Linked DNA regions of Arabidopsis thaliana. Each later gene encodes a partner of the first gene's protein in a complex. Each region holds a gene or a part of one and is shown on either strand. Other genes may lie near its edges.

What was found. The genes of interacting proteins can lie anywhere in the genome.
Region 2: HAF2 (region 1) and TAF6B share a complex: the UniProt entries of both Arabidopsis thaliana proteins name them as parts of the TFIID complex.

The regions. Positions count from the first base shown.
Region 1 is NC_003074.8:6,571,819-6,578,150, reverse strand, and holds the start of HAF2 (histone acetyltransferase of the TAFII250 family 2), read left to right. Parts: upstream 1-2,537; 5' UTR 2,538-2,598; coding exon 2,599-2,632; intron 2,633-2,868; coding exon of another isoform or gene 2,869-2,884; coding exon 2,885-3,109; intron 3,110-3,360; coding exon 3,361-3,452; intron 3,453-3,542; coding exon 3,543-3,717; intron 3,718-4,110; coding exon 4,111-5,221; intron 5,222-5,372; coding exon 5,373-5,575; intron 5,576-5,693; coding exon 5,694-5,931; intron 5,932-6,056; coding exon 6,057-6,332. Other genes in the region: POK2 (phragmoplast orienting kinesin 2), read right to left, coding at 1-104. UniProt on the Arabidopsis thaliana protein: TAFs are components of the transcription factor IID (TFIID) complex that is essential for mediating regulation of RNA polymerase transcription. Core scaffold of the TFIID complex.
Region 2 is NC_003070.9:20,287,790-20,293,660, reverse strand, and holds TAF6B (TBP-ASSOCIATED FACTOR 6B), read right to left. Parts: upstream 3,062-5,871; coding exon 2,942-3,061; coding exon of another isoform or gene 2,873-2,941; coding exon 2,625-2,872; intron 2,538-2,624; coding exon 2,431-2,537; intron 2,360-2,430; coding exon 2,283-2,359; intron 2,204-2,282; coding exon 2,066-2,203; intron 1,974-2,065; coding exon 1,878-1,973; intron 1,782-1,877; coding exon 1,657-1,781; intron 1,574-1,656; coding exon 1,441-1,573; intron 1,231-1,440; coding exon 1,105-1,230; intron 1,001-1,104; coding exon 889-1,000; intron 800-888; coding exon 501-799; downstream 1-500. Other genes in the region: NHX5 (sodium hydrogen exchanger 5), read left to right, coding at 11-132, 221-308; ABCD2 (ABC transporter family protein), read right to left, coding at 3,416-3,625, 3,714-3,964, 4,087-4,363, 4,441-4,682, 5,265-5,493, 5,578-5,742, 5,837-5,871. UniProt on the Arabidopsis thaliana protein: TAFs are components of the transcription factor IID (TFIID) complex that is essential for mediating regulation of RNA polymerase transcription. Not redundant with TAF6.

The DNA of each region.
Region 1 (6,332 bases):
CTGGTTAGAGACAAAAGCGAAGCTCGGAGATTTTCAGGAACATTCTCGATTTCGTCATCGTGATTGTCTGAATCTCTACGGGAAAGCTTGGTCTCCTTTGACATTGTATTACCCTAATCTGAAACAAAACCCAGTTCAAAATTTATGAAATCGACACACGAGAAATGATAAGTTTAGAAACTTGGAATCCATAGCTAAAGCTAAGAAGCTCGTTGGGTTTAAAGGCTGAAATAGATCTCACCTGTGTAGTAAATTGAGCAACAAAATCCAAAATTTGTCGAGCTTCTAAAGAGTTCGCTCTCTCTCTTTCTCTCTCACTCCCTCTCTCTTTCTAGATTCGCATGATTTGAGCAGTGAAGCAGGACGGAGAAAGGAATGTAAAAGAAAGAAGATGAAATGGACGGCTGAGATTGCATCTTTATGTTTTGTACTTTGAGGCGCTGTTCGAATTTGAATTTGGAAAGGGCTTTCTCACGTAATAAAGTAGGCTTGTAGAGGTTAGTTTCGTAAATGAGAAACCTATTTTCTTTTATTTTTTCAAAAATATTCAAACGGCTAAGACATTGAAAAAAGCAGTAGAGACTAGAGAGGGTCCATTTTAATTCGAATTATCTCGCCTCGTGATTAAAATATATATTTCCTAGCGGCTTATGTCAAAGTTCGAGATAAAATAAAAAAAATAGACTAATTTTGCGTAGGATTTGGTTTGGTTTGGGTCTGTTACTATAAGAATGAAATAAAGAGACTATACAATATACACCGTAACAAGTATATCCTTTAATTTTGTCATATGACAATTATTGTTCTTCTTTTTCTTTTTGGACATGGATAATTATATTTTGTTTCATTTTGGTAAATTAGGGTCCTGTTCGTTTGCCTGTGTTCGTTTGCTTGTCTGTGTTCGTTTGCCTGTCGCTGACGACTGAAACCAGCGACAACGACCAAAAGTTGTTTGTTTGCATAGCGATCAAAAGTAACGACAATCGCCAGCGACCAGCGACCGCAATTTTTGGTCGCTGAAATTTTTAGCGATCAGTCGCTGATTTCAGCGATTAGTCGCTGGTTTTAGTCGCTGGATCCAACGACATGCAAACGAACAATTTAGCGATCAAAAAATATAAATTAAAGAATAATTAAAAATAATTAAATTAAACAGAATTAAATTAAATTAAACTTAAAATAAATGTCTTTTTGCACTCTGAACGGTTGTGTCTTTTAATCGCAACTTTCCGTAAAAAATATTGATGGTTGTTTTTTCTCGCTTGTGTCTTTTATTGCAACCTTCCTATATTGTAATTTTCTGTCAAAATATTTACAGTTATTTTTTCCGGTTAGTTATATATATACTATTGAATAACTACGAAATTTAGAATATGCATCATTTGGAGTTAGATTTGTTTTAAAGAAATTATTATATAAATAAATTTATAATATTTTTCTCTGCGATATCAAGAAAGGTTTGAGTTCTAGTTTAATTAAAATAATTCTTATTAAATTAAGTTAAAATAAATTAAATTCAAATAACATAAACTAATTATAGTCAAATTAAATTTGATAAAACTAAAATAAATAAATCTATTAATTTATTTTTCTCATGGTGTATGATATATATGATTTACATTTTGATTTTAAAATATAAATTAGTACCAAAAATAATTAATTTTAAAAAAAAATATAGCGACTGTTTATAGCGACAGTCAAACGAACAACACAACGACAATTATTAGCGATTGTTGATGTAATTGGTCGCTGAGTCCAGCGACAGACAATCGAACAATATATGTTGTCGCTGGTTGCTGTCGCTGGTCGTTGGTCGCTGTCGCTGGATCCAGCGACAGGAAAACGAACAGGGCATAGGTTTTGTTTGTTTTATTTAGTATTTCTAACGTAAATTTTAAAAAAGCGCCAAAATCTAGAAGAAGAGTAATATGCGAGAAAATCACTTTTACTCTTATTTATTTACTTGTCTTGCCAAATTTCCATCAAAATTATTAATTACTTAATTATATAATTTTTGACTAATTATTTACTTTATTGGACCCGGGATATGTAACTAAATGGGCTTTTATTGGGCTGTATTCTGTGGACCATTAATAAACATAATCTTTGAAGTGCAAAAAAAAAAATGGGACCCGGGACAACTAAATCAGAATCGGGGCGGGTTATAAACTTTTCCCTATAAATTACCACTCCGATGTTAATACCCGCCTCTTTGATCCCTCAGACGATTTCTTCTTTCCGTTGTATCTTCCAATCACCCGATTGAGCTCCGCTTCACTTCCTCCGGCTAAATGTGTACATACTCTCAATTAGGAAACCGCCAATCCCACATAACGTTGAATGTCGTCGTCTCGGTTAGATATCAACGAGGGTTTTGTTCTTGGTTCCTTACTAAACAACAAAATTTGACGAAAATTGGTACTTGGGTATGAACGTTGTTATTCCCTAATTGTACCGGAAAATTTGATGGTGGTATGTTTCCCTTGTAGGTTTTCGTTGAGTCGTGGATTTGTTCTTGCTCCTGATTCTTTTCAGTAGTTCCTTTGCTATTTGGGAAGCAAAATTGTCACGCCACTCTTTGCATTCGAGGGTTTTATTATGTCTGAGTCCAACGACAACGAGACTTCCGCAGGTTATATTTGCAGTTTCTTACATGGTTTCTTCATTAGTGTATTGCATTCTCCTAGTTTTGCTCTAGTCATAATCTACTTATTGTGGGATAATTTATTGCTCAGCGTTTTGAGTTAATTAAATAGAAGGTTTTTATGTTTGAGATTTTGATATACGCAACAAGTCCCACCCATAGCAGTTACAAACTGAAACTATTTGCCACTACCAATTCCCGGTCATCAGCTTCACTGACTTGTGATGATATGTCGTGTAGATTATGGGAGCAATGATGAAGAGTATGATGGGCCTGAGCTTCAAGTAGTTACTGAGGAAGATCACCTACTACCAAAAAGAGAGTACTTATCAGCTGCATTTGCTTTGAGTGGTTTAAATTCCAGAGCTTCTGTGTTTGACGACGAAGATTATGATGAACAAGGAGGACAAGAGAAGGAACATGTACCAGTTGAGAAATCTTTTGATTCAGAAGAGAGGGAACCAGGTTTGCTTTTGAAATTTCCGTTTCTTGAACAAAACGATTAGCACACTCTATTCTCTACTTTTGTTTTGTCATTTCATTAATCTCAGATTGGTTTAGTTTTCTCAACACTTATACTTGTTTAGCTCGGGAAAATAATCTCTTGTTAAGTTGGAGTCCAGTGCGTCATAAATACTAGAGATCAGAACTCTTGGAACTTTTCTTAGATTCCTTTTGTGTTAGTGATTATGAGACACTAAACATTATTTTCGCAGTTGTCTTGAAGGAGGAAAAGCCCGTAAAGCATGAAAAGGAGGCTAGCATCTTGGGAAATAAGAATCAGATGGACACAGGAGATGTCCAGGAGGTCAGCAAGAATGATTTCGGTGTCTCAGATAACATCTTTTTTTGTTGTGGAATGATTTTGTTCTGTTAGTGATCTCATTGAAACGTTCAGGAGTTGGTGGTTGGATTATCAGAAGCTACTTTGGATGAGAAACGTGTCACCCCGCTGCCTACGTTATATCTTGAAGATGATGGTATGGTCATCTTACAATTCTCTGAGATATTTGCTATACAAGAGCCACAGAAGAAACGGCAGAAGAGAGAAATTAGATGTATCACTTATAGAGGTATGTGATCTGCAACGGCTTCCTAATTTTGTTTATTCTCAAAAGCCTTTGAATTTTTTGTGCTTTCCATTGGGATGTTAAAATCTACAACAACAATGATTTCTCAAGATTTTCAGTATCTCCCGTTCAATTCTAAAAGCCATTAGGTGTCGAAAGCATGAGAAGTTTTTTGTATGTGGCTCTGTCTTTTCTTGGCAAGAATTTAGTAGATATGTATATTTGGTGCTTCTGAAATGATATACATTATTTTCTCTGTTTCTCTCGTTATCTCTCTGCATTGTTCTTTTCTGTTTGTAATTCATCACTTCTTTTAATGTAACTAGAATAGCTGAGAAAGTTCTATGAAAACAATTATCATATGAGACTCTTACATCATAGCCTTCTTTGGTACAGACAAATACATATCTATGGATATTTCTGAGCTTATCGAAGACGATGAGGAGGTACTCCTGAAGAGCCATGGTAGGATTGACACTCATGGGAAAAAAACTGATCAAATTCAGCTGGATGTTCCCTTACCAATCAGAGAGCGTTCACAGCTGGTAAAATCTGGCATAGTAAGGGATACTACATCAGAATCGAGAGAGTTTACCAAGCTAGGAAGGGATTCATGTATCATGGGTGAACTGTTGAAGCAGGACTTAAAAGACGATAATTCATCTCTCTGTCAGTCTCAATTAACAATGGAAGTTTTCCCTCTAGACCAGCAAGAATGGGAACATCTAATACTCTGGGAAATTTCTCCTCAATTTAGTGCTAATTGTTGTGAGGGCTTCAAATCTGGACTTGAGTCAGCAGGTATAATGGTACAGGTGAGGGCTTCAAATTCAGTGACTGAACAAGAAAGCTTAAATGTGATGAACTCTGGAGGGCAAACTCAAGGGGACAATAACAACATGCTCGAGCCTTTTTTTGTAAATCCGTTGGAGTCTTTTGGCTCAAGAGGTTCCCAGTCTACAAATGAGTCCACTAACAAAAGTAGACATCATCCACAACTCCTTAGATTAGAATCTCAGTGGGATGAGGATCATTATAGGGAAAATGGCGATGCTGGACGGGAGAATTTAAAGCAGCTTAATAGTGACGCTCGTGGGCGCTTGAGTGGACTTGCATTGCAAGATAGGGATATGTGGGATGAGTCATGGTTAGATAGCATAATATGGGAGTCAGATAAAGATTTGAGCAGGTCTAAACTAATATTTGATCTTCAAGATGAGCAAATGATCTTTGAAGTTCCGAACAATAAGGAAAGAAAATATCTTCAACTTCATGCTGGATCTAGGATTGTATCTCGATCTTCAAAATCCAAGGACGGATCCTTTCAAGAAGGCTGTGGATCAAATTCTGGGTGGCAATTCAATATTTCTAATGACAAATTCTATATGAATGGGAAAAGCGCTCAGAAACTGCAAGGAAATGCTAAGAAATCTACCGTACACAGTTTGAGAGTTTTCCATTCGGCACCAGCGATTAAATTGCAGACGATGAAGATCAAATTGAGCAAGTAAGTGAGTCATTTGAATTTTTACATCTTATTGTATTTGTACGCTTCATTGTTACATTCGTGTGTGGTCTCAATGTTGCCACTGGATATATTTTTTAAATACATTTTTTTAGTGGTTTATGTTAAAAAGTTTTGATTTAACTCATTGCAGTAAAGAGAGAGCAAATTTTCACCGGCCCAAAGCTCTGTGGTATCCACATGACAATGAGCTAGCCATAAAGCAGCAAAAAATTTTACCCACCCAAGGTTCCATGACAATTGTTGTTAAGAGTCTGGGGGGTAAAGGATCACTGCTAACCGTCGGCAGAGAGGAATCTGTCTCTTCTTTAAAAGCCAAGGCTTCTAGAAAGCTAGGTTGTTTGTTTTCCTTTCATTTTTTGTCTACCCCATTATGACATGGATTCTATTTGGAGAACATGCTGTACTATTCACTTGCAAATCTTAGAGCTCATTTGCTACAATTGTGTTGCAGATTTTAAGGAAACAGAAGCAGTGAAGATGTTTTATATGGGGAAGGAACTTGAGGATGAAAAGTCTCTTGCTGAACAAAATGTTCAACCCAATTCCCTTGTCCATCTTTTACGTACTAAGGTGCATCTGTGGCCATGGGCACAAAAGCTTCCTGGCGAAAATAAATCTTTACGACCTCCTGGGGCTTTCAAGAAGAAATCTGACCTATCTAATCAAGATGGCCATGTTTTCTTGATGGAGTAAGAGAATTTCTATATGAGACTTACCTGTCAAATTTGGAACTTTTGTTTTGTTACTTTATGGCTCTTGTAGTTATCTTGATCTTTGTCTATAAGTCACCGTTACTTTTCATTAATCTGAGTAGGTATTGTGAAGAGAGGCCGTTGATGCTCAGCAATGCAGGAATGGGTGCAAATTTGTGCACGTATTATCAGAAGTCATCCCCAGAGGATCAACATGGGAACTTGCTGCGCAATCAAAGTGATACCTTAGGGAGTGTGATTATTCTAGAACATGGGAACAAATCCCCTTTCCTTGGGGAAGTACACGGTGGTTGCAGTCAGTCATCTGTTGAAACAAACATGTACAAAGCACCTGTTTTTCCTCATAGGTTGCAATCAACAGATTATTTGTTGGTCCG
Region 2 (5,871 bases), on another chromosome or scaffold:
ACGTGGTTAGGGCTTTGAAGAGAGCGATCATCAGTATGTCCCTCCTCCTTTTAGCATTGGAGCTTCATCTGACGAGGATACATCATCATCAGGAAGCAGGTTCAAGATGAAGCTGAAGGAGTTTCACAAAACGTAAGAATAAGAGAATGGCTTAGTATGTTTTCCTGAGTAAAAAGCGATATTTGCAATTTTTTGGGACTCACTTGACAAAACTTTGCAGCACTACATCATTCACCGCGTTGGACAAAAACTTTCTGACTCCGTTCTTCACAACTAATAGTGGAGATGGAGATGGAGATGGGGAGTAGCATGGAAAAGATGTGTATTTGTGGTCCAGGCCAAGCTATAATTAGAGTACACATATGTCTATGTAAGATTAACACTGGTTGATTTTACCTCTCGCAAAATGCCCACTATAAAGTTGACGATTTCCAAGACATTTCGAAATATTATATAGATGTATTTATTGTGGTACATACAATTACCATGTCAATAATCTATTACAAGAAGAAACTGAGCTCATGTGTGGGGGTGAACATAAGCATGCTCTCACCAAAATACTCAAAAAGAGGAAAGAGATAGTTGTCGACGTCAGTGCCTGCAGCAGCTGAAGTCTTCGGAGCAATTGTTGAGGGACTATTGTGGTGCCGTGCATCTGCATCTGTGTGGGACTGTTGAGGGACTGTTGTGGTTCCGCGCATCTGCATTTGTGTGGAGCTCATTTGTATAATTCCCCCTACTGCTATCTTCTTCAGTGGTGGTTGATGAGTTAAGTTGTCACTGCTTGCTTTGCGTTTACCTTGGCCGAAGAAAAAAATTATTTAAGAACGCGTATCTCCGTGTTTAGAACGCCAAAAGAAAAAAAAAGAATGAGACCAGATTTTATACTTTGCCTGGGGCTGGTGAGCTTTCCATTTGTCTTCCAGACAGAGCTAGTTGGAGGAGACAGCAGTGTCTCAGATGTTTTAAGCCGTTCATATAGGCATCGACCAGCTGCCACCTATGGAAAGTTAAAGTTTATATGCTCTCCTGCCTGTTTTGCAACACGAGATTGAAAGCAAACAAGTTTTCTAATTTCTGTATCAAACTAGAAAGCATACTCACCATCAACGCTCCATAAACAAGCCAAGCCCCATGCCTCTTAGCTTCTTCCTTCTGCTTCTCAAGTCCCATTTCAGGTAAAAGAAGCAGCAAATACGGCCCTAGGTTTGGGAGAACAAGAAAGCGAACCTAGACAAAGGTATAAAGCAAGAAAATACTTACGGACGACCAAAGGATATATATCTTAAGGTTCAATTGCAGGTTTAATAACTTTATCGAGGATGTCGGATCATGCTACTATTAGTTTTAAACTTATGCTTTCTTATGTAAAAATTCTAGACGCACAACCTAAAGTGCTACTCTTCGTTATGATAATCAAGAAGCATCAAGAGGAAGTACCATATTAAGCCCAAGGGCTACCATCCCTTGAATTGCCCCATAGTGTTGTGGGAGTGCCTTGGTTGGGTCCAAAAAGGTATGAAGCAGTGATCTTGTGACACGTGGCAACAAATTGTGATAAACGTGTCCAAACCTGTAAAAAGTTCACTAATGTGATTGCAAGTTATATGGTTGTATAAGATGCATGAAATCACAAAGCAAGAATGTAACATTAACCTTTTGCACGTTGAAGCAACTGTGCTGGCAGTGAAGTTTCTCAAGTCCCAGTGATTATCAGATGACCTTCTTCCTAAGCGCTTGGCAATAAGGCAAGTGATAATAGACGGCATCAACTGATGCAGCTGAACAGAATACAACAAGTTAAAAGTCAACAGAAGGAGGAGAAGGGAGAAGAGAAACAAAAAAAAACAAAAAAAAAGTGTGCGCACAAAACTTACATATGGCTCAATATGTACATGAGGGTTATGAAGGAGGCTTCTAGCAAGACGCATCAAAGCCAACAAGATTGGATAATTATCCATGTTTTTGACAATCTGGAGAAATTGCAAGCACAAAAAAAGTAGTGAAAATGTGGTCAAGTTAGAATAAAAGTCAAGACTAGAAGTGTTGGATTACAAAGACAAACCTCTTCAGCGATGAAAGAAGTGAAAAAGGGAACTAATGGGTGGAGTCCAGGATCAATTTCCAAGCTGGCGAGTGCTTGTCTAAAGAGGGTGGAGCCAGATTGAGTCAAAGCCCACTCCGTGACTTTGTCAAAGTAAATCTGCATCGAGAGCAAGCAAGGATTATATAGCATTCAAAGAGCGAGGTAAAGACCCAAAAAAAGAAGGGAGTAAAATAACCTGAAGGTCCTTAGAAAGCACCTGTCTAGCAGCCAAGCCATCGTCCTTATATTCCGATCGTTTAAGGTCAGATATGGCTACAAATTGTCATGGAAGAGGGATTAGAAGGAGAAGTAGTAGGTGATGCAAAAGAAGACAAAAGAAATACCTTGGAGAGGAGAATTCTGTGGAATGGAAGGTTGAATACCATCAATTGCCAACCAATGAGAAAACAGATGCATCAGGAGGTGCATTTGGTAGAGGAGCTTCGATAACCTGCACAAGAGACCATGAAGGGAAGCTTAATAACAATAAACAACATTTCACCATCTTCTTCATTCATGGCCAATCAATGAAGCTTACATTCTTGAGCTCGACATCTTTGTCATCGAAGAAGTATAGATCTCTGTTCTCAGGAGCTCTCTTGAACCGCATACTTTTGGAGCCAGAGGTAGGCTATACAAAAAAAAGTCAAAATCAGGGTCAACGGTATGAAATAAAAGAAGAAGAGAGGAAGAGGAAACCTCCAAATTCCTGAAATGAAGAGCAGAATCGACATCATGAGCCATTAAAGTGGTGCGTCGAGCATGACGCATGCATTTGATAGCTTCCTGGAGATTGCGACGACAAGTTAAAGAGGAGATTAGAGGGCAAAAGTAAAGTTGAAGTTGATGATATACCTGCATGACCTCTCGGACGCGATACTCGACATCGGGAGCAAGAGCGGCTGAGACGTCCGGAGAAAGAGTGGAGAGTCCAATGCTCTGAGCTATCACTTCAATGGATTCTTTCGTCACCATCCTCCTTGCGCCTTCTTTCTTTTTCGACTTTGAGCGACTGAGTCGAGTCAGTCGTGTTACATTTTCTCACTCTATCAGGCTTTCTCAAATGGGCCCATCGTTAGATTTATTGGGCTTATGATAAATACTCAGCCGGTTTTGAATTTTTAGCTCATCTCGCGTGTTATTTTTAATCAGAACTTCGTTGCACTCGTATCTGTATCAATCTCTCTATTTACTTGCATCTTCAGTCAACGTCAAGTCTGGTAGATTATATACAAAATGGACACCAAACATGTTTCTTATATGTTTCATGACACCCGTTTGCAGATTTACCTGCTGCTTCTGTCTCTTATGTAATCAATCAGGTTTTGATCAGCTTTCACTTGGCACCTCCTTTTGATTCAATCTACCGTACAAAGAATCTTGGGCATCCACGTCCTCTATTCGCCAGTTACGTTCATTGCTCTTCGGGTCTGCCGTTGAGATTTGTAAGATCTTGTTATGGAATTTCGTTAAAGTCCGGCGGTGGCCAATGCTTATATATGTAATGCCAGCCGACTGGATTTGCTGGTACAGGAACGCCTGGGCATCAAGAGGAATTTTAATGGCTCAACGCTACATGTACATGATATTATTCTAAATGATAGATGAGAGGAGAACCAACAAGTACCTCATTAGCTTCATCCAACGCACTGGTGGATTCATCCAGGAGCGCCAGCTTTGGCTGAGACAGCAATAACCGTGCAAAGGCAAGGCGCTGCTGCTCACCAAGTGAGAGAACACTGGACCACTCGTGTATCGAATCAAGACCACCAAAGCGATCCGCTATATGTCCAAGACAAACCTTCTCTAGAGTCCGCATCAGATCATCTGTTGTCGGCTTTTCATTTCCGTCCTCTCTAATCAGCAGAGGTGGTGAACCTAACAAAATCAACGCATTTTTTCTTCAGTCGATTTGCTTTTGGGTTCTATAATCTGCTTGCATAAACTTAAATGGAGTTGAAAGAAATGGTTGTTACTAGACACAAATTTAAACTGAGTACCGTCAATATTACTGCCACCAGGTGTCGTCTCCTCCACAGTTGCACTCCAGGTAGGATAAAGCAATTGCTGACGCAAAGATCCCAGAACCATATAAGGCCTTTGTGGAAGGAACAATACGTCTCCTCTTTTCCCTGAATTTTCCTGAGTATCAGATTTCTCCTGTGTAAAATCTACCTCAGGATCGAGGTAGAACGTGATTTTTCCTTTCCCTGACCTCCAAAGACCAGCCATTGCTCTTAGCAGCGAAGTTTTTCCACTCCCACTAGGACCCATTATCTGTTAAATGGCATTTTTAAGTAACTTCCAATCTACCAGTCACATGCTTTAAACACAAGTAGTCAAAGTGAACTAACCAGTAGGTGATCCTTGTCATATACATCTGCAGATAAGTTGTGAACCAATGTGGTTCCGTTTGTTGGTGTCTGAAGAGTAAGCTCCTCGATCTCCAGACGCTTTTGGTTCGGTTGGGACTTGATTGAACCATTGGTGTCCAGCAGTGAAGAGTTCATCTCACTCTGATATGTCAGCTCAATCTCGTCCACAGTGTCAGATGGATCTCTGAAGATGTTGTTATCCAAAAGATCATCAAATTCACCTGTGTTGGAAGAAGTCTTGATATTGTTAGATGCGTAAAAGGAGAATCCCAACCTACAGCAAATGCAGTTTTTCATTTAGCCGTAGAAGTTGATTTGCAGAAACAATGAAACTTTGTGAATATGTTGTACATAAGACATAATTTAGACCCAATTTTAAGCAGGAAAGTGAACAGCTGACTCGATCTTTTTGTCTGCCCATCACACTCTCAACGGTTACACCCGCATTTTTTTCCGGGTATTCACTCTTAGATATTATAAACAAAATCTTACTACTATACAGTCTAACTATTATCTATATATTCTTATCAAAATCCTACTATACACCACACTCTATACTGTTATAACACAAGAAAATAACTAACTACAGCGACACACTGCAACTTCTACTCTTCGATATTCTAAACAAAACCCTACTACTAAAATATCTATTTCTCACCATCAGGTAACAGAAATTATGGTGATGTGCATATTCTGCGTCTAATGTTGTTCGGTATTGATCTAAGGTCTTGTGTGATCTGTAAGCAACAAGTAGTATATATATAGAACATTAAAAGAGAGTGCAGAATACATAATTAATCTACCTAGTCGATCAATGACAGCAGAAAAAGAGCTGATAGCTTGAAACTGATAGACAACGAGCGAGAAGTCTCCTAGGATATGATTGAATGCAGACACTGACTGGTTAATGACACCAAACTCAATCTTCCCGGAGAAATACATTGGGGCAACAACAGCAACTGGAAGAATCTGAATGAGGTAGCGATATCCATCGGTGAAGAATTCTAGGTTTCTAGATGCTATCAGCAATTCCTGCAGGTGAAAAAATTGAATGTAATTTATTGTGCAATCTATAGATATATATATAAATGGATAAGAAAGCTCGAGAAATTTTACAGTTAAATTATCAAAAGCGCTTCTGAAACGCTGAAGCAGAAGCTGCATTTCATTCTGTTCGCCTCCATAGAAAGCAATAGATTCAGCATTTTCCCTCACTCGTACAAGGCTGTAACGAAAGTCAGCCTCTTTCTTCTCTTGTAGAAAGTTGAGATTCACTAGTCCCTGAACACAAGAGGGAATGTTAATGCAACAAAGCCAAAATCTGAAGCGGAACAGAATAGAGACAATCACACTGCTTAACGAGGCATTGTTGTACCTTGCCAAGAAAGACACTGATGGCTGTACCGCCAA